3 linked regions of the Arabidopsis thaliana genome follow. The protein of the gene in region 3 interacts with the protein of the main gene of each other region in a pairwise test. Each region holds a gene or a part of one and is shown on either strand. Other genes may lie near its edges. The genes, in order: AL1, AL5 and RING1A.

Region 1 (5,306 bases), about 16 Mb from region 3:
TGTCCCTTGATTCATCAAACTCTGAAAGATCATTGTCCTGTCCATATCAACATGTAGATTCTCATGATTTCAACATTAACTGTCAATGCTAATAATAGGGTGGGTTGCACTAAACATCAGCCGATATATTTGAGCAGTCAACTTACAGCAAACATTGGAAACTTTCGGTAATTGTCAAGAAAAGCTTGCTTCTTCCTCAATTTGTCATATTGGCTCAAACATCTGCTGAAAAGGTGCCTGATACTAGTGTGGCTTGCTAACATAAGACCACTGACCTGAAATATCAAATACACCACCAAACTTAAGAGTCTTCGATGTATCTACTAAAGCAGGAACTGCAGCCTTAGACATTAACTGTAAGGAGTACCAACTCTCAGCATGAGTGCATGACAGATATATATAGAGTGATATAAGATTACCCTATGGGAAGTTTGAACATACGGGGACTTCTTGGAAAGAGCAACCTGTTGAGAGTAAGATATGGAAAAAATTGTGATGCAAGTCCATGGTAAATCCAAAAGCAATAATTAATTTGACGACGCAATTCGGTTAGAACCTGTATGCTTGCTGGTCCCCAGTCTATGAAATTGACAAGCTTTCTTTCTCGTATCCTCTGCAAACTCTCATGCACCTAATATCAAGTAGTGAGACAACAGAGCAGATAACATCAACAAGAAAGAATTACCGATTCATCCTCAATATATCGAACAAAAAAATTAGTACATAAAAGTACCTGAGTGGGATCGACTTCTCCTTGAATTATATTCAATATTGATATGTACTTTGCCTGACTAGCTTCTTTGTTTCTAGCATAAGACGAAACCATGATATTTTTTGTCTGCGAATACAATCATGTTAGAAGAAAATCTAATTCAATTTTCGAAAAAAGACTGGAGAAAGCAAACAGCTCACCTGTAGAAGTCTCCTCATAACATCCAGCACAGTAGTTTTACGAATAACATTTGCCTGCCAAGAACAATTCACATAAGAGAGTAGGAAATCAATGAAAATGTCAATCATAACATTCAGAAGTCATGTTCCAGATAACAGCAGCTTCCCATAAAAATGGTTTGATGATATTAGTTATAAAACTGATTGAGATATCTAACCTGGCGCTCAACAGTCAACGGTGTATATCCAGTCATGAGGAAGTGACACCTTGGAGTTGGGATCAAAGATGCAAGCAAGCCAACCAAGTCATTATTCATGTATCCAGGATAACGCAACGTTGTTGTGCTAGCAGACATCACAGTTGACACCAAAGAATTGGTCTGAGCAAAAGTAGGATTAGTCAAATGTAGACGCTCCACAGCAATTCTGTTCAATGCAGTGTTGTCAAGAACAACAACACAATCAGCATTTAACGTAAGCCGCTTCAGCGTCAACAGTGAGTTGTAGGGCTGGACAACAACGTCACTCGTTTCCATCTGATTGGGAAATACACTGTATGTCTGAACCAACTTCTTGCTATAACGATCATTCAAAGTCTCCAACAAATAAGATCCCATTCCTTCATGTGAAAATACATAAAAAAAAGTCATTCAGTGAATAAACATAAGCTAAACGAAGATAGGGATTGGCAATAAAAAGTAAAATACCTGAGCCAGTGCCTCCAGCAATAGAGTGGCAAAGAACAAAACCCTCCAGACTGTCACTTCCATCAGCTTCACGATCAATCATGTCCATGATTTCCTCTTCAACACCTTTCCCTTGGTGATATCCACTGGCCCAGTTATTACCAGCACCACCGCCATGGTCAGAAAGGAAGATATTTTCATGATTGTAGAGATTCCGGTATTCACCATTCTGAATACCATTGATAACTCTAGGCTCCAAATCAATGAGGAGAGCTCTTGGTATATAGTGTTGGTCATCCGCTTGGTAAAAAAACACATCTTTTCTATCACCTCCCTACATACATACAAGTAGTTCATCAATCAAATCCACAATTCTATGAACAACAACAACAAACCAGCAACCATGGAATTCAATTAATCGATGCATAGAAACGAATTCGAAGAAAGAGGACCTGAGTAGCGAAGTCCTCGAGAATACCATCTTTGCTGATGCCGTGCTCAAGGCAAAGCTGTTTCCAGAACTCCATACCGATCTGGTTCCCACATTGTCCAACCTGAAGCGTAATTATCTCCCTCGGCATCTTCTTCCTCTGTAAAACCCTACCTAAGTGTTTCGAGACTACTACGCCTGAAGAGGATGATCAAACTATACTCATTAAAGCCACACTTTCAGCTTCTTCTTTACTCATTTACAGAGAGATACAGAGAGAAAACGTCGTTTTATCAGAATTCAACTCGATGGGCCATGGGCCAGGCCCATTTTAAAATAGAGACCAAAAACAGAAGTTACTTTACTACTACTACTCTTAAAGTCTTAAACTCTGGTCTCTCTCTATCTCTCTTGTCCGTGCGCATCGGATTTTGGAAACCATTGATGCAGACCTCAATCCATCTCTAACACCACTGATCTATCTACTTAGGTCTTCTCTAACAATACTTGTAATTTTCTTTCTTTTTGCTTCTTCCGTCACTACATCTATGGCCGCTGAGTCTTCTAACCCTCGCACCGTCGAAGAGATCTTCAAGGATTTTAGCGGTCGTCGCTCCGGTTTTCTTCGAGCTCTCTCCGTAGGTTAGACGACGACGCTATCCTCATTTTCTCCTATTTTCTCGTAAATGTTAAGCTTTCTAATTTTACATGTTGTTGTTCTTGCCTCTCTTTTACTAGATGTTGACAAGTTCTACTCTTTATGCGATCCGGGTAAACGAGCTCTTTCCATGGTTATTTTTCGGATCTGTGTTTGTTTTTTCCATGGATAAGTTTCAGAAAAAGATACCCTTTTTGATAAATTTTGTTCCTTTTTTTGTTTATTGGGTGGTCTTAGAAATGGAGAATCTGTGTTTGTACGGACACCCGAATGGGACATGGGAAGTGAATCTTCCAGCTGAGGAAGTGCCTCCGGAGCTACCTGAGCCAGCTCTTGGAATCAATTTCGCTAGAGATGGTATGCAGCGTAAAGATTGGCTCTCTTTAGTTGCTGTCCACAGTGATTGTTGGTTACTCTCTGTTTCTTCTTACTTCGGCGCTCGTCTTAATCGCAATGAGAGGTACGTTTGCCTTTTGTTCTTGCTTGTTTCAGTGACTTTTATAAATTGTCGAAGATAGTTTTACTGTGCTAGCTAGATTGTGGTGGTAATGATGAGAAAAAATATGTCTTTGGACAATGGACTGTATCATGATTCATGAGCTTGTGTCATCACTATTTTGTTTTTGTTTCCTGATTCTTTCTGTCACTTTAACTCTACTTGTCAATGAGCTTCTTTCCTTCTTAGGTTAAGTTTCTTTAAATGCATACCATTTTTCACTAATCCTTCTGTTTTTTGAACTTGTGCATCGTTTGGATATAGAAATGGCTACTACATTCAATACATATCTGTTCTATCGGAGCTGATGATATCGTGGTATTCACTAGGTTACTTATCCAGTTATCCTTCAAGTTTTATTTCCTTTACGTTCTATAAGAGTCTATGTTTTTGCTGGTAATGAAGCTCATAAGTTACATATGTGCGGGTATATGAGCTTATTTGATAGTCTTCTGAGATTATGCTACTGGGTCTAGGAACTTATTATGTATGTTCCATTCAATGAGCAGGAAACGTCTATTTAGTCTGATCAACGATCTCCCAACTCTCTTTGAAGTAGTGACGGGTAGGAAACCCATCAAAGACGGTAAACCAAGCATGGATCTCGGAAGCAAATCCAGAAACGGCGTAAAGGTATCATAATGAACTCTTTACTAATCTTTACCATCCCAAAACAGTATTTTCTTCTCAAAGACAGAGAAGGGTTTGATATTAATAAATTAGTTGTGTTTTGGTTGGTATTGAATTGTTGCAGAGATCAATTGAAGGGCAGACAAAGAGCACGCCGAAACTAATGGAAGAGAGCTATGAAGATGAAGACGATGAGCATGGAGACACACTCTGTGGAAGTTGTGGAGGAAACTACACAAACGACGAGTTCTGGATATGTTGTGATGTGTGTGAACGTTGGTACCATGGGAAGTGTGTGAAGATAACACCAGCCAAAGCAGAGAGCATCAAGCAATACAAATGCCCTTCTTGCTGCACTAAGAAAGGAAGACAGTGAGTGAATGAATGAGTGAGTCATCTTTCTCATTTTTCCTTATTTCTTTTTAAGTTATTGCAAAACATCCTTTTGTTAATGTATGAATACAAAACAATTATTGGTGTTAGATTCTCAAAAAGGGCGTTTTAAAATAGTAATGAGGGTATGAGACATGGAGAGAGTCATAGAGACACCAGCTGCTTAGAGAGCTTCGTCAACTTTTGATCAAATATGCCATGTGTTTGTATATGTAGCGACTCTACTACTTTCATCGTTTATGTGTGTAATCTCTCTTTAGGCTAATATAAAAAAAAATATTCTTATGTAAGGTTGATCTTCATAATCTCTCATATGGTATTTTAACTAAGAGTTTGTACTGACAAAATTTAAGTGGTTATAGTGGTGTTTTGTTATGTACACAAAACCAAAATAGTGGGGAAAAAACCTCATCTCCTGCAGTCTCTAATCCCTAAAACTGAATTGACGGGAAAAGTCGTTATATTTGTGATTTCAATTTCATAAAGTATAGTATAACCTCCATAAATTAATACTCGACAAATTAATAACTTTTATAAATTAATAAATTCTTCCGGTTCTAAGTTGGGACCAATGTAAAAATTGATACAAATTAATAAATTAATAAGATAATAACTTTTTTTGAAAATCTTATATAAATATATGGTCCCATCAATATTATAAATTAATAATTATGTAAATTTACCAATATATATATATATATATATATATATTCTATTTAAAATATTTATTGAAATATGACTCTAGTATTATTTTTTCTTCAATTTCTATTAATTATTTGTAGAGTTTAATTCTAATATTTTTATTACGTCAAAAAAACTTTGTATTATTTTTTAAACTTAATAATTATTTTTTCCTTGTAATTAATTTTAGAAAAAATGATTAATTATAAAGAAAAACTACTTTTATATCGAAATTTTATAAAAAATAATACAAAATTTGTAAAAATTTTCTATAAATTAATAATTATTAATTTATCGATAAATTAATACCTCTCTAAATTAATAAATTTTCTCGGTCCCAACATTATTAATTTATAGAGATTTTACTGTACAACAATTACCACACTTTAGATTCAATACTAAAAAAGAGTTTACAAATTATGATAAGTTTTCAGTACAGCC
Region 2 (6,463 bases), about 11 Mb from region 3:
TTCTTCTGCTGCTTCGTCCCCAGAAGCCGACTTTGTTAAGAAGACTATCTCTTCCCATAAGATCGTCATTTTCTCCAAATCCTACTGCCCGTATGTCTCTTTCTCTGCTCATGTTTAATCACTTTTTATCCGATTCGCAGAAAAATTGGATCTTGGGTGACTTCAATTTGCGATTTTGTTTTTTAGATCTTAATATCTGAAATATGAGTGAAAACTTGAACCCAATGAACTTGTATTCGTTAGATTTGGATTTTTATGAGACAACTTTGTTATCTCTGTTTACAAATGGTGGTTGAAATCAATATGGATTTTCGTTTAAGATATATTCAGGTTCAGTTCTCAGTATTTGTTCTCTTTGCTTTTCCTTTGGCCTTAATTGAGTTGTGTAGAGAGATCATGTACCTATGTATATGACTCATCTCTACTTTTCCTTTGCTTCCTTGTGGTTTGGTCAACAGCTACTGCAAGAAAGCTAAATCAGTGTTCAGAGAGCTGGATCAAGTTCCTTATGTTGTCGAGCTTGATGAAAGAGGTGTGTTTTAAGGTTAAAGGGAATCATGTCTTCATCATCCAACAATGTTTCTTAGCTCTCAGACATTTCTGTCATTTGAAACTTTGTCCGATCACTATGTAGAAGATTCATTTGTGACTAATGGTTGGTAAAAATTTGGTCTTGCAGAAGATGGTTGGAGCATCCAGACTGCACTTGGAGAGATTGTTGGAAGGCGAACAGTACCGCAAGTCTTCATTAACGGAAAACATCTCGGAGGATCAGATGGTATACTTAACACTCCTTTTCCTTCAACAAAACGTCTTTGCTTATGCCAACATTTGCTGATCGATAGATTTATCTTTGTTTCTGGTTATAGATACCGTAGATGCGTATGAGAGCGGTGAACTCGCCAAGCTTCTTGGTGTTTCCGGGAACAAAGAAGCTGAACTCTAGGTTATATATAGTTGGAAGAATTGATAACACTCTCTGTGATGCTTAGGTGTAAGCAATTCAATTTCCATTTGTATTGTGTTCTGCAGCTTGATCATGACCTTGTGACAGCTTGATCTTGCCTTTTAAACGTATCTTATCAAAGACCACATTCTGAGTTATACAAATTGGGTTGAGGAATCAAATCTGGACATGCTACAAATAACTTATCTGAACAACACACAAACTTTAAGTGCATTGTACTGTTTGGGGGATAAATAGAGAGTAGCTAAGACTAGTGGAAATAAAACAAAATAGATAGTAGCTAAGATTAGTGGAAATAAAACATCTAGGGTCGTGCTCTTTTGTTGCTGCAAGTAGGGCACTTGTAATGCTTGATATGCTCCGCTCTAGCTGGAGTGATCTTCACACACTCCCCGTGGAACCATTTCTCGCACATGTCACAGCAAATCCAGAATTCATCAGAAGCATAGTTATCTCCACATGCTCCACATAGGGTTTCACCGTGTTCGTCTTCATCCTCATCCTCTTCCTCTTCCCCTTCTTCTAACTCTAATCCTTCTTCCTCATCCTTGGCATGTATCGTCTTTGAACTTTTACTTTCTAAACCTCTCTGCATTCCAGATCAAGAAATGTATTAACTACACCAAAATAGCAGAGAGTAAACTATAAAAAGTAATCAACAAGTGTCACTGGAGCGGTAAGCTTGTGATAAATTGGCCATTTCATTGCATACTGATACAGTAATTCCAGACCTGCCGCTTAGATGATTGCAACTAAAGATACATCTTTGTGCTGCCTGAAACTTAAGAGGTTTCTTATGCCACACAATTCACAAACTACGATTATGGAAGTAAGAGTATTGTGTTCAGTTAATGTTTTAGAACTCAATAGCAAACTGTGTAAGATCTCAATCTATAATGCATATGATGAAACAGATGTTTAAGGAACAAACTTGTGCAGCATACGCTCGAGGTTAGCAGAAAATGAGAAGTATTGTAGGTAGTAGGTACGCTACAACAGTAACCTTAAAGCACAAAAACAAAACAGTTTCTGATACTTTAACCCTGATCAAATATGGTTGTGTTATCTGAAACATAAATAAATATATATGTAGTTATAATATAAGAAGGAAAACCTTTCATATAACTATAAATAATTTCAATGTTCAAATATTTCCAAACGTGTCTCTTAAAAAGTTAGAAATCAAGGTGTTCTGTTAAACTATAGTTGAATTGTGTAGCAGCTACTCAAATGAGACTTCCAAGATAGTGCAATGACTGTATATGAAAATGTCATAAATAGGTTGAATCCTTTACGATGTGAATGTGAATAACATATGCCAGTGCTGTGCTTTATTGAATATCCATTTAACCATTCCTAATTTCTGAAATACTGCAAGACAAAACAAAAAATGATAAGAGTAGACGAAGGACAAAGCTTGAGTATCGAAAAGAAGGTCTAAGAATGAAACAAGAGCTATTTCCGCAAAACTTTCAGGATACCATTAACAATCATAGACCTTTTTCTGTAGGATTGTAGTTGAGTTGTCAGCTCAACTAACGAACAACTTAGACCGGTTAGTGTACTATGGGAGGAGTTATATAGAGAACCGAAGGTGATAGGATCGCGATACTGAGTTGAGAAAGGGTTTGGAAGAGTAGCATAGTAATTAATGTTCATAGTTCCCAGTTCATAGTTAATAAAGGATTTGGTTTGTTCTTAGTTCATAATTAATGTTCTGTATCTTATTAAAGGAGAGCATGAGACTTACCATTTTTGAATTTGACTTGGATCTGTTGCCATTTTGATTTGCTGAAGAGGGCATTTCCTTTGTTTGCTTCTCTGCATTTCCAGTTACAACTTCATATACAGTAGGAACCTCATTTATCATACTAAACAAGCGCTTCCTGAATTTGTAAGTGTACGGGTTAGTATGGAAATGCTTCAGATATCATGATAATTAATGGTAGAGAATTGAGCAGAGAAGATATTAAACAACGAACACCAGGTTAGAAGAGAAAACACAGCAACCAAGAAAGAAAGAATGATACCTGTCAGCTCTATCGAAACCAAATCTTGAACCAAAGTAAAAAGACACAGAAAGTAACCACGCATCACTGTGGACAGCAACGAGAGAAAGCCAGTTTCTTTCCTGCATCCCATCTCTGGCAAAGTTAATGCCGAGTGCAGGTTCGGGAAGCTCAGGAGGCACTTCTTCAGCTGGTAAGTTAACTTCCCACACTTCATTTGGGAATCCATACAAGCAGAGATTCTGCTTCTCTGAAATGTCATAAAACAGTCATACAAACTTCAGTTTATCAACGCTACTTAATTAGCAGAGAAAGCAACGAAATACTCTCTGAAAACGATATTTAGCTACGTAAAATCAAGACAAGCAGCTATATTCAATAACGAAATCATGTTTATTAAATTAATATATTGATGACAAAAAATTAATATATTCCTCTTAACTAAAACAAGTTTTAGAGCCACAAGAAATTTCATAGAGACATGCAACCTCTAAATGGTTATGGTTATGTCGATCAAGGCACAAAGCATGAAGTCAAAAGCGAGATATAGAGAAAGATAACAGCACCAAATGCGAAAGAGTATATAGTTCATGGGGAGACCAAACCACCGAACTAAAATAAAAGTTGCTCAAATGTTCAACATAATCAGTCACCAGTACCAAAACACATGTAAGCAGCAGAGCAAGATCTTATACTTTTCAGTGTGAGTGTCGATTTGGACAAGCCTATGTTACCATCTCAACTTTGCATATTCAAAATCAGGAATAACTGAAACAGCTTGAGAGCATACTTAAGGCTAGAGAGAGAAAAAAGCTAACCAGGGTCGCATTGCTGGAAAAAATCTTCCACATCTGCAAAAAAAAGAAATTAATTGTTCTTAATTCGAAGAACTAAGCATCATCAACACAATCCATAACACTAGAGCACAATTGTTGAAAAAGGGTCTAAATAAAGCCACCAAACGATCGTCATGAGAAGAATTCCCACGAAAAACTCAAAACCCATAAGAAAAGTTTCAAACTTTAAAAAGCAAAGAGAAGAAAGAAGAGACCAGTGGTGAGAGCTTGGATGATGCCAGCTCGACGGCCCTTAAAATCTCGAAAGACTTCTTCGACAGTTCGAGGGCTGTAGTGCGCAGTTCCTCCTTCCATGTCCGTCTCTCCTCTCTCGGAAACGATGAAAGAACAGTGAGGTTTGCTTCTTTTTTTTTTCTAAAGCAGAATTTTTGTTCTTAAGTGATAAAGTAAGAAAACTTAATGCAGACTAAAAAGTTGCCCCGTGGACAGTGACCGACCCGGTCTAGTCACAACACTTATTTAAAAATAAAAATACATAAATAATGGACATTAATAATGTCTTCGTGCGTTTAGTTTGGTGTTATCTCATTTTCAAACATAATCAAGTTTGTCGGGAAAAAAACTACTCTACAGATTTCATAAATATTATGAATGACAGACGTAATCAACACATTCAAGATATAATCATATAACCATGTCTTTTTTCACTTTTCTCAATCATCTACAAAGCCATGATCATCCAGAGGAAATAGTTACGATCAGATGAGAAACACCAACAACAATTGGAAAAAAAATAACCCAAAAAAAAGAAGGAAAACTGAGACGAAGCAAATGCATCTGATTAGCTTACACTTGCCATCTCCACTAGCTGGTTCTGCTTACAAAAGTTCCTGTCCAATATCTCACTCTCTGAACAAGTTGTATCTGTCACTCCCAAATGCAACATACGTATACACATGCTTATAACAAACAATACCGTCGTTTCAGGTTGCAATAGGAAATAAGTGAGTCGAATCTTCCTCTAAACACAGCATCGTTGATCGTTACCTTCCTGTCATCAGATTAGAGACCAACGTCAAGCCTAGTATTCTACTTTGGGAAAAACATCCCAAGAAACATCTCTGTAAAACAAAATTGTTACTTATACTTGGTAGATCATCTTACCTGTATCTTCTTTCCTTTTCTCAGGCGCATACTTTTCGAGAAATTGCAAGTTTGTTTTCCAGTAAACTTCACCACCAGACAGCCATGTATCCATATGCATCCCACTTGGAAACTCCACAAATGTGCACTGAGGGTTACGGGCAGCCGCTTTCGCATACAGCATTTTCATGTGAAATGGAGGGACCATCTCATCTTGCAGTCCAGAGAGGAAAAGCACTGGTTGTTTGATCTGTCATTGTTGCAAGATCAGTTTATCACAGGTTGCTACAGAAAATCAAACGATGAGACATTTTTTTAACAGGGATATGTTTTTAGCAGCACATCAAGCTCCTTTCTTGTTTCCTTTCAAGTTTTACTCCATAGAACAAATCAGGGAGCAATCAATCAGCTTGCGGCATACATGAATAATTTTATAGTTCGGGTTAGCTTATCATGAATTCAACATATTCCGCAAAGATATATACACTATGTCCCGTTAAAAGGAAATGAAGGAATGCAAATGCATGAGATATATTAATATATATGCCAGTGAGGTCATTGGGGTACCATAGTGTTTTTTGCTTAAATGAGTCATTTTATGGCATATGCAAACAGTAAACGAAAAGAATCCATCTAACATCTATCTGCAAGAGTCTACATTTGCATCTTACCTCAGCAATAGCATCAATTGTTTTCCAGGGAGAACGTACAACAAAATTAAGAAGCTTCAGGCTTTTCGTACCACTTCCTCCAATAAACCACTTCAAGAACGGCAGCAAAACGCCAGCCATATCAAGAATGGATGTGAAAGTATTTTCCAGAATCAATGCAGATACCTATATAGCGACATTGAGAAATGGTAAACATACAACTATAAGGCGTGTGGATATCAAATGAAATACTGGAAGTAGAGACAACAAGAACAAAAATAATAGCTTAATCAAGGCATCTACAAATTTCATTTACCAAGAAATTTTCTGAGAAGGATAAGGTTCTTGTGCATATAATAGTAAATATCAGTGGGGGTGATAAAAGGAGGCCTATAACAAAGCTCAAACGAATACCCCTATCAACCAGGTTCTTTTATTGCCAGATGACTAAAACTTTAACACAAAAAATAATTATATTCAGATAGTACAAACCGCGTAGATTGTTACTGATGATAAGTGACTAGAATCTAAATAAAGAGGTACTCTAGAAATTTTTATACAATTGGACTCCAGGTCATCTGCCAAAGACCATGAGTTATAATAATTTGCAACAGTAACCAGAATCTCATTAATATACTGATAAGAAGCCATCCAAACCAAGCCCCTAGAGGAGAGAGGAAGGTGCCCTTAGGCGTTATAATTTATAAGGCATTTGTTAGTCTCATTCGTAACCATGTGGGACTCTCAATAATACTTCTCCCTTTAAACAGTAACATCCACAGAGCTGGCGGCTGGTACTTGGCCTATACTGTCTCTCTTCTAATAAAATATACATTTTCCCTACTCATGAAATGCTACCAATAGCAATATGTACTAATAGTACCTTATCTGGATTGT
Region 3 (6,208 bases):
CAGACTTTGACCATAAAGTAAGCTTATCTAACTCGATCAGCAGATTAAAAGAAACCTTTTGATTTCTCAACTAACTTGTTCTATCATCTTTGGTTCCAGATCAAAGAGAAAGAGATGATGTACAAGAGACATCTCGAAGAGGCGGAAGCCGCAAAAATGGTATAATACTATAAATTTTCTGCCAAGTATAGATGTATCTAATAAAAGAGTATGATAGTAAATGTATTTTACCTAAAACTTTGTCAGGTAGAGGAAGAGAGAGCTCTAAAACAACTGAGAAGGACAATCGTTCCTCAAACCAGACCAGTGTCAAACCTTAACAACCCATTCTTACCTCACAAGTAAGTTCTGATCCAAACCAGGAGTTGATTTCTTCTTTTCTGTTCTTGATTTTTACCTACACTTGTTAAACAAAGAAAACTCCATGTCAATTAAACACAGGTCGAACAAGGAGACGACAAAACCAAATTCACCAAAGCTTAGAGTGATTAGAAGAATCGACAGGAGAACAATGATGATGGTTTCTCCTCACATGAGGTAGCTGTTAAAAAGTAAAAAAGACTAAGCAGCAGCAGATATTGCTGTTCAAGAACGTTTGAACCGCACCAACCGCTCAACGTCTCCATTATAAAATGAGGCAGTAGCATAATCTTCCTGTGTTCTGAGACTTGACTGATATATATATAGTAAAAAAAAGGTTTCCATATAAAAACTTGCTCCGGAAATACTAAGCAACGTCTACAATGAATACACAAAGGAAAAAAGTTTGTCACAAACAAAAAACTTCCTAAATAAAAAAACCAACTGAGATATATAATCTAGCAAACGGATAAACAAAACAAGCCCTGATCCATCTGTTTATATATTATACACTGTTTGCACTTCCGCAGCACGTCCATTAGGCTCCAAGTTTCTTCACTCAGTTTGCTTCTTCCGGTAAGCTATGATCTGAAGGCACAAACCAAATAAGGAAAAAGTCTCACAAAGTTGAATCATACTTAGATTAGACTGTAAGATATTTAGATAAAAATTATTATTATTGACGCTACCAAATGTTGTTCATGGCTTGAAATGAAATCGATTTTGAGCCTTGACAATGTTTCATTGTCTTCCAAACTCAGCATCTCATCTTTAGATGCTGCTGCTGAAGCTGGAGTCACTGCAGGAAGATTCTCTATTGCCGCATCTTCTCCTACTCTTCTTCTTGTTACTAACAATTCAACCTCTTCAGTCTTCAAATGTATCTGAAGTGCAACGAACTGTACAACATTGAAAGTTGACAAATATATTAGCGTATGTGATACTGAAATCATTTTTGTTATTGAATCATATTGAAGTACTTTCGCATCAATATATATAACAAAAAACCACTTTCTACTGTGACAAGTCTGATGATAACTGTAAAGGGAGAGAGAGTGCTCACTTCACGGAGCTGTTTTACAAGCAAAGTGGGTCGGCAACAGAGATATGGCTGTGGTAAGTCTGGTATACATTTTGTATCCAGCGAGACAAGCTTGACATGAATATCCAACTGCAAGAAAGATTAAGTTTAATCGAAATCCAAACTAACTGCAATCAAAAATACAGGTCATCAAGAAGAAGAGAATCATCGTTTTTTTTCTTTGGTACCTCAACACTAGATCCATCTACGCTGCTGCGTAGATATTCAACAAGTTTGTTCACACGGGCATTCCTTACACTCTTACTACTACCTCCAGAAGTATTATTCCCATGCCTTGTGTTACTCCTTGTCCCGCCTCTTCCCCAAGCCAGTATCTCGGGATTCCACACAAGCCCGGGAGATATGCCTTTGGTGTCTCTATACACTTCTGTGTCGTTATCTGCACAGTTACCATTGTTTTTGTTTGCACCTGAAGAAGAAGGGTGTTGTGTTGAACGACTTGTAGACCGTTTTCTACGTTTCTTCTGCCGGACTTCTGTACCACGCTCATCTGAAGACGAATCTTTGTCTCTTCCTCTGTTGTTATTATCATCATTATCATCATCTTCATGAGCTTCTGATGCGTTTTGTTGTTCCATGTTTCTGCTGTTCCGTCTCCTTCTGGAGCCACTAGCAATACGCGGTGATCTCATTAAGACTGCTGCCTCTTTACCAAGAGATCGTCTTTTCACAAGAGCCTCAGATTGTCGTTGCGATATCTGAGCTATAGATGCTTGAATCTACACAAAAGCCATAAGAAGGTGATTAAGTATATTTTAAGCAATAGTCAAAAAAGTGAATAACAACATTCTCCATGGTATCCGACCTGCTTATTACGAGCCATTTCATCTTCGTGAAAAGCCAGTTCCTGAACCAAAAAAAACAAAGCGTTTTAACAGCAACAATCTCTCCAAAACAAACAAGCAGGAAAAATATGTTGATGCTTTACCTCTTCCTCATAACTATCAATATTTGTAAATAAAGCAGCAATAAGAGCATCAAATTTCGGATCGTCTCTTAGAGAACGCCGGCTTGCACAATGCTTCCTGCAAGCAGGACATTCGTTATTCCTGCAATAGAAACTTCAGTTAATATAAACTCAAAAAAAAGCTTTAGAAAAGCCAACACTTATGGCTCCCAAGAGAATGATGAAATATTTAACTTGAAAGTGGCACAGAACTGAGAAGCAAGAAGAAACGAAAACAACATAGATAATAAGAGTAAGACCCAAACAATTTGAAACCGTACCCCAATCTCATTGACTTATCAATACATTCCCGGCAGAACCTGTGGAGACATTCCATCACAGTCCTTGTTTTCTTTATAATACCTGAAAACAGGACAACAAGAAACTCGTTTCAGCCAGATGTAGTAATGTAGCTTAAAAATAGAGTGTGAACCAAATCATGCCGACTTATCTACAAGAATACGATATGAAAAGACGCAAGAATTTCATGCCGACTGAAGAAAGTAACGGCTTTCGAGCTTTAGCAAAAGTTCTGTTCCCAACGAGAAATATTCAGGACAAAATTGAGTACCTAGGCATATTGGACACTGCACGTCTTTACGGATTTCCCCTAGATCAATTTCCATAAACCTGCATGAAAAAAATGCAGACACAATTAAACAAGAAAGATCCATCCAGCTTCTTTATTCTACAGTAAAGAATCTATCTCAAGACAAAAATAAAGCTGACATTCTAAAGGTCAAGTTAAATAGAAGATGAATCATTCTTAGGACACAACTTCCAGTAATGGCCGCTATTATTCAAGGTAAAGACTTTACATTGTTTAGCCACAAGAGCGTAGAGGTTTTGAGCAGTAATACGAGAGGAATTACAACATGCAAGTGCTAAGAAGATGCATCAACAGATTACTAAATCAAGCAGAGCAATTTTAACATTTAATTGACTAGAACAACAGAAGTAAAGAAATATTGGAGTAGAGAACCCATCACAAGCTAAACACATCTGGAGAAGAGAAAGACAGAGAAATGAGAAAAATCATTACTCTGATTGGTCTCCAGATATAGAAGATGGACTTCTTTCTTTAGAATCTGAAACAGAAACAAAGAGAGAGAACCAAATCGATCACATGAACAAACACAAAACACTCTCACGTTTACACGAGAGTAGAAGAAACAAAAACACATCCTTTACCTTCTTCTTCTTCTTCTTCTTCCTCTTCTTCTTCTTCCTCTTCCTCTGCTTCTTCATCTTCCTCTGCTTCTACTTCTTCTTCCTCGTCCTCCTCTGCATCGTCACCATCATCATCTTCCTCGGCGTCGTTGGGTTTCACTACTTCTTGGTCTTCCTCCGCTTCGTCGTGTTTCACTTCCTCATCTCCTTCTTTCTCTTCTTTCGTCTCATCCTTCTCTTGTAGATCCTGTGTAGCTTCGGGGTTAAATCGGTCGCGTGGTTGGTCTGCCACATCGGGAATCTCAGCCGACGAGAAGCTATTATTCTTGACAGACATTGTAGGGACACACACTAAAGATCTTCTCTCTAAGAGAAACCCAAAAGGCTCAGCCTTTGTCTCTCTCTCTCTACGTCTCTCTCTATTCTTCTTCTTCTTCTTGTTCTGCTTCGTTTGTGTTTTTGGTTCGGTGCCGATATAGACGAAATAGGAGAAAGAAATCGGTCGAAGAAAAAAGTGAGAATTTTGGCCTCTTTTTTTTTTTTGCCATTTTTCTTCACTTTAATTAATATATCCTAATTATATTTTTTTCTTCTTAATATCTCCTAATTCTATTATTTAAACCGGATTATAAAACTTAAAAAACATAAAATCGACCGCTTTTATAAAATTGTATTGCTGTCGAAAAAAAAGAAAAATATTTAAATTTAAACCCACTTGCTCACTTGCCAAAGCCATGATTAAATTGTAAAATTGAATTTTTGACTAAAAATAATAAAATGACTAACTATAACAAAATCAAAGAGCTACGCCGTCTGTGGGGATCGAACCCACGGCCACGTGGTTAAAAGCCACGCGCTCTACCACTGAGCTAAGACGGCTATTTGTTTATCACTTTCGTTAAACTATATTTAACAAGGTTTATTGTATTAAATTAGAACAATAGACTGGGCCAAAATTGAGTAAAGAATGTTTAAGCAAGAAGGCCCAACAAAAGCAAAGGAAGAAAAAGGAAATTTGTAACCAATAAAAACAGTCCGAACTGGAATTGTACTTGTGTCCAAACAGAGAGTTTAAAGATTTTGTCTTTTTTAGTCAAACAGATAAATTTAGGGTTTCTTCTCAATCTCTTATAAATAGCTCATCTTCCGCCGTTCTTTGTACATTCATTCGATTTCTTCTTCTCGTTTCTCAATTTCGCTTCTTTTGCAATATTCCGTTTTACGAATTTTCTTTGTTTGAAATTGGTCTGAAGAATGTGATGAAAGTTGTCGATTATGTGTGATGATTCTTTAGATTCAATTGATCGATAAAAACTTCAATTCGCTACGTTCTTTCTGATTCTTCATCCCTTTAAAGAAAACAGTTTTCATAAGTTTTGTTTTTAGTAATTTCAGATTCAGTTTTTCAAGTAATCAAATTGGTGAAAGATAACATCTTGGAGAAATATGATGATAATAATCAGTAAATATCTTAGGACACCTTCTGACACAGTTTACTGTGTATGAGAATGACTTGTTAATCTGATTCTCCATATGTTTCTTCTTTCAAATCTTTATCAAACTGTTTTACTATCTTCAAGAGCCTTTTATCAGAATCTGATTGAAAGTTAGGAACTTGTAAAAATATGTAATCAGAAACAGCATACTGATAATAGGAATCTATGAAACATATATGGATATGTTATGTTATGTACACATCTCTGTAATATATGAAGAAGTGTACATACATGTAATATACACAAAGAACCAAACTCTATGATGAGTCTGTATAAATGTTATACACATCACTCTATAACCACAGAGCTTAGCTTTTTATAAGCCAACAACAATCTTTTAATCTCTATATATTACAAACAAATTTTTCAAAATCTACGAACCAAATAAGACTCTTCTTGATACAACAAGACTTGAATGGTTCTCTGTTTTTGTCCTCTGATAAAAGACTCCCAGCAAAATCATTCAGATACGTGATTTAGTTTCTGCAGTGTTTTGCTTTCTGTCTGGTGAAATCTTGGAGCTGCCGGTCGTGTTCTTCCAGCATCTGATCCACTTTTCTTGGCTGAGCCAGTAATGGACCGGACATGTACATCTTGTTATCCCCTGAATCATACTATATCTCCAAAGAGAGAGAGAGAGATAAAGACAATGTAACTGAGAAATGAGGAAAAAAATAGTCTCTTGAGATGACTTACCCAAGATGGGTCATTTGGGATTTTGGTTTGTCTTTTACTATTATCCATAGTGTCAGCTCTGTTGAATGTTCTCAATTCCTTCCTTTGCTGATCCATCATTTGTTGATCTGACCCAACATAACCGCCTCCTTGTCCTGCTGAGTTAGCCCTATATGAAGGTATTCTAGGGGCTGCATTGTCCTTCACGTATGTTAACCGACTAAGATTCCGGTTTTTCATCATCGGACCTGAGTGAGAGACTCTTCCGCTTGTTGGATTGTTGCAGGTCATGTCCTGCATTTGTCTTTGTGAATTACCCGGAACACAGCTTCTTAGATAAGGATTCTGTATTGGCCAACAAGTTTTTTTTTAAGTTAGGATTCTGATGGATCAGAGGGAACACCGAACCATAGCAGATCGAGCCTTTGTGTTACCTCCACAGCTGTTGAAAGTGATGGA

Evidence for each region.
Region 1: the proteins of RING1A (region 3) and AL1 interact in a two-hybrid assay, tested with the Arabidopsis thaliana proteins (one study listed by BioGRID).
Region 2: the proteins of RING1A (region 3) and AL5 interact in a two-hybrid assay, tested with the Arabidopsis thaliana proteins (one study listed by BioGRID).

Annotation. Positions count from the first base shown.
Region 1 is NC_003076.8:1,676,192-1,681,497, reverse strand, and holds AL1 (alfin-like 1), read left to right. Parts: upstream 1-2,390; 5' UTR 2,391-2,555; coding exon 2,556-2,649; intron 2,650-2,745; coding exon 2,746-2,778; intron 2,779-2,902; coding exon 2,903-3,125; intron 3,126-3,670; coding exon 3,671-3,794; intron 3,795-3,915; coding exon 3,916-4,167; 3' UTR 4,168-4,179; exon of another isoform or gene 4,180-4,274; 3' UTR 4,275-4,609; downstream 4,610-5,306. Other genes in the region: GCP2 (gamma-tubulin complex protein 2), read right to left, coding at 1-37, 147-275, 420-464, 557-631, 734-838, 913-966, 1,110-1,510, 1,599-1,911 and 1 more. UniProt on the Arabidopsis thaliana protein: Histone-binding component that specifically recognizes H3 tails trimethylated on 'Lys-4' (H3K4me3), which mark transcription start sites of virtually all active genes.
Region 2 is NC_003076.8:6,938,720-6,945,182, forward strand, and holds AL5 (alfin-like 5), read right to left. Parts: upstream 4,293-6,463; 5' UTR 4,128-4,292; coding exon 4,028-4,127; exon of another isoform or gene 3,828-4,027; coding exon 3,795-3,827; exon of another isoform or gene 3,646-3,794; coding exon of another isoform or gene 3,636-3,645; exon of another isoform or gene 3,435-3,635; intron 3,227-3,434; coding exon 2,998-3,226; intron 2,854-2,997; coding exon 2,718-2,853; coding exon of another isoform or gene 2,643-2,717; intron 2,054-2,642; exon of another isoform or gene 1,557-2,053; coding exon 1,272-1,556; 3' UTR 1,094-1,271; downstream 1-1,093. Other genes in the region: AT5G20500 (Glutaredoxin family protein), read left to right, coding at 1-90, 459-532, 680-778, 870-946; WAV2 (alpha/beta-Hydrolases superfamily protein), read right to left, coding at 4,817-4,824, 4,938-5,166, 5,588-5,752, 6,450-6,463. UniProt on the Arabidopsis thaliana protein: Histone-binding component that specifically recognizes H3 tails trimethylated on 'Lys-4' (H3K4me3), which mark transcription start sites of virtually all active genes.
Region 3 is NC_003076.8:17,835,200-17,841,407, forward strand, and holds RING1A (RING 1A), read right to left. Parts: upstream 4,056-6,208; 5' UTR 3,916-4,055; coding exon 3,600-3,915; intron 3,528-3,599; exon of another isoform or gene 3,497-3,527; coding exon 3,451-3,496; intron 3,039-3,450; coding exon 2,980-3,038; intron 2,903-2,979; coding exon 2,872-2,902; intron 2,772-2,871; coding exon 2,729-2,771; coding exon of another isoform or gene 2,690-2,728; intron 2,621-2,689; coding exon 2,604-2,620; intron 2,512-2,603; coding exon 2,391-2,511; intron 2,310-2,390; coding exon 2,268-2,309; intron 2,182-2,267; coding exon 1,630-2,181; intron 1,532-1,629; coding exon 1,424-1,531; intron 1,260-1,423; coding exon 1,050-1,259; intron 949-1,049; coding exon 916-948; 3' UTR 650-915; downstream 1-649. Other genes in the region: AT5G44270 (TPX2 (targeting protein for Xklp2) protein family), read left to right, coding at 1-17, 100-159, 247-341, 442-541; AT5G44290 (Protein kinase superfamily protein), read right to left, coding at 5,551-5,688, 5,771-6,094, 6,184-6,208. UniProt on the Arabidopsis thaliana protein: Putative E3 ubiquitin-protein ligase that mediates monoubiquitination of 'Lys-119' of histone H2A (H2AK119ub), thereby playing a central role in histone code and gene regulation. As part of the PRC1-like complex, repress class I KNOX gene expression.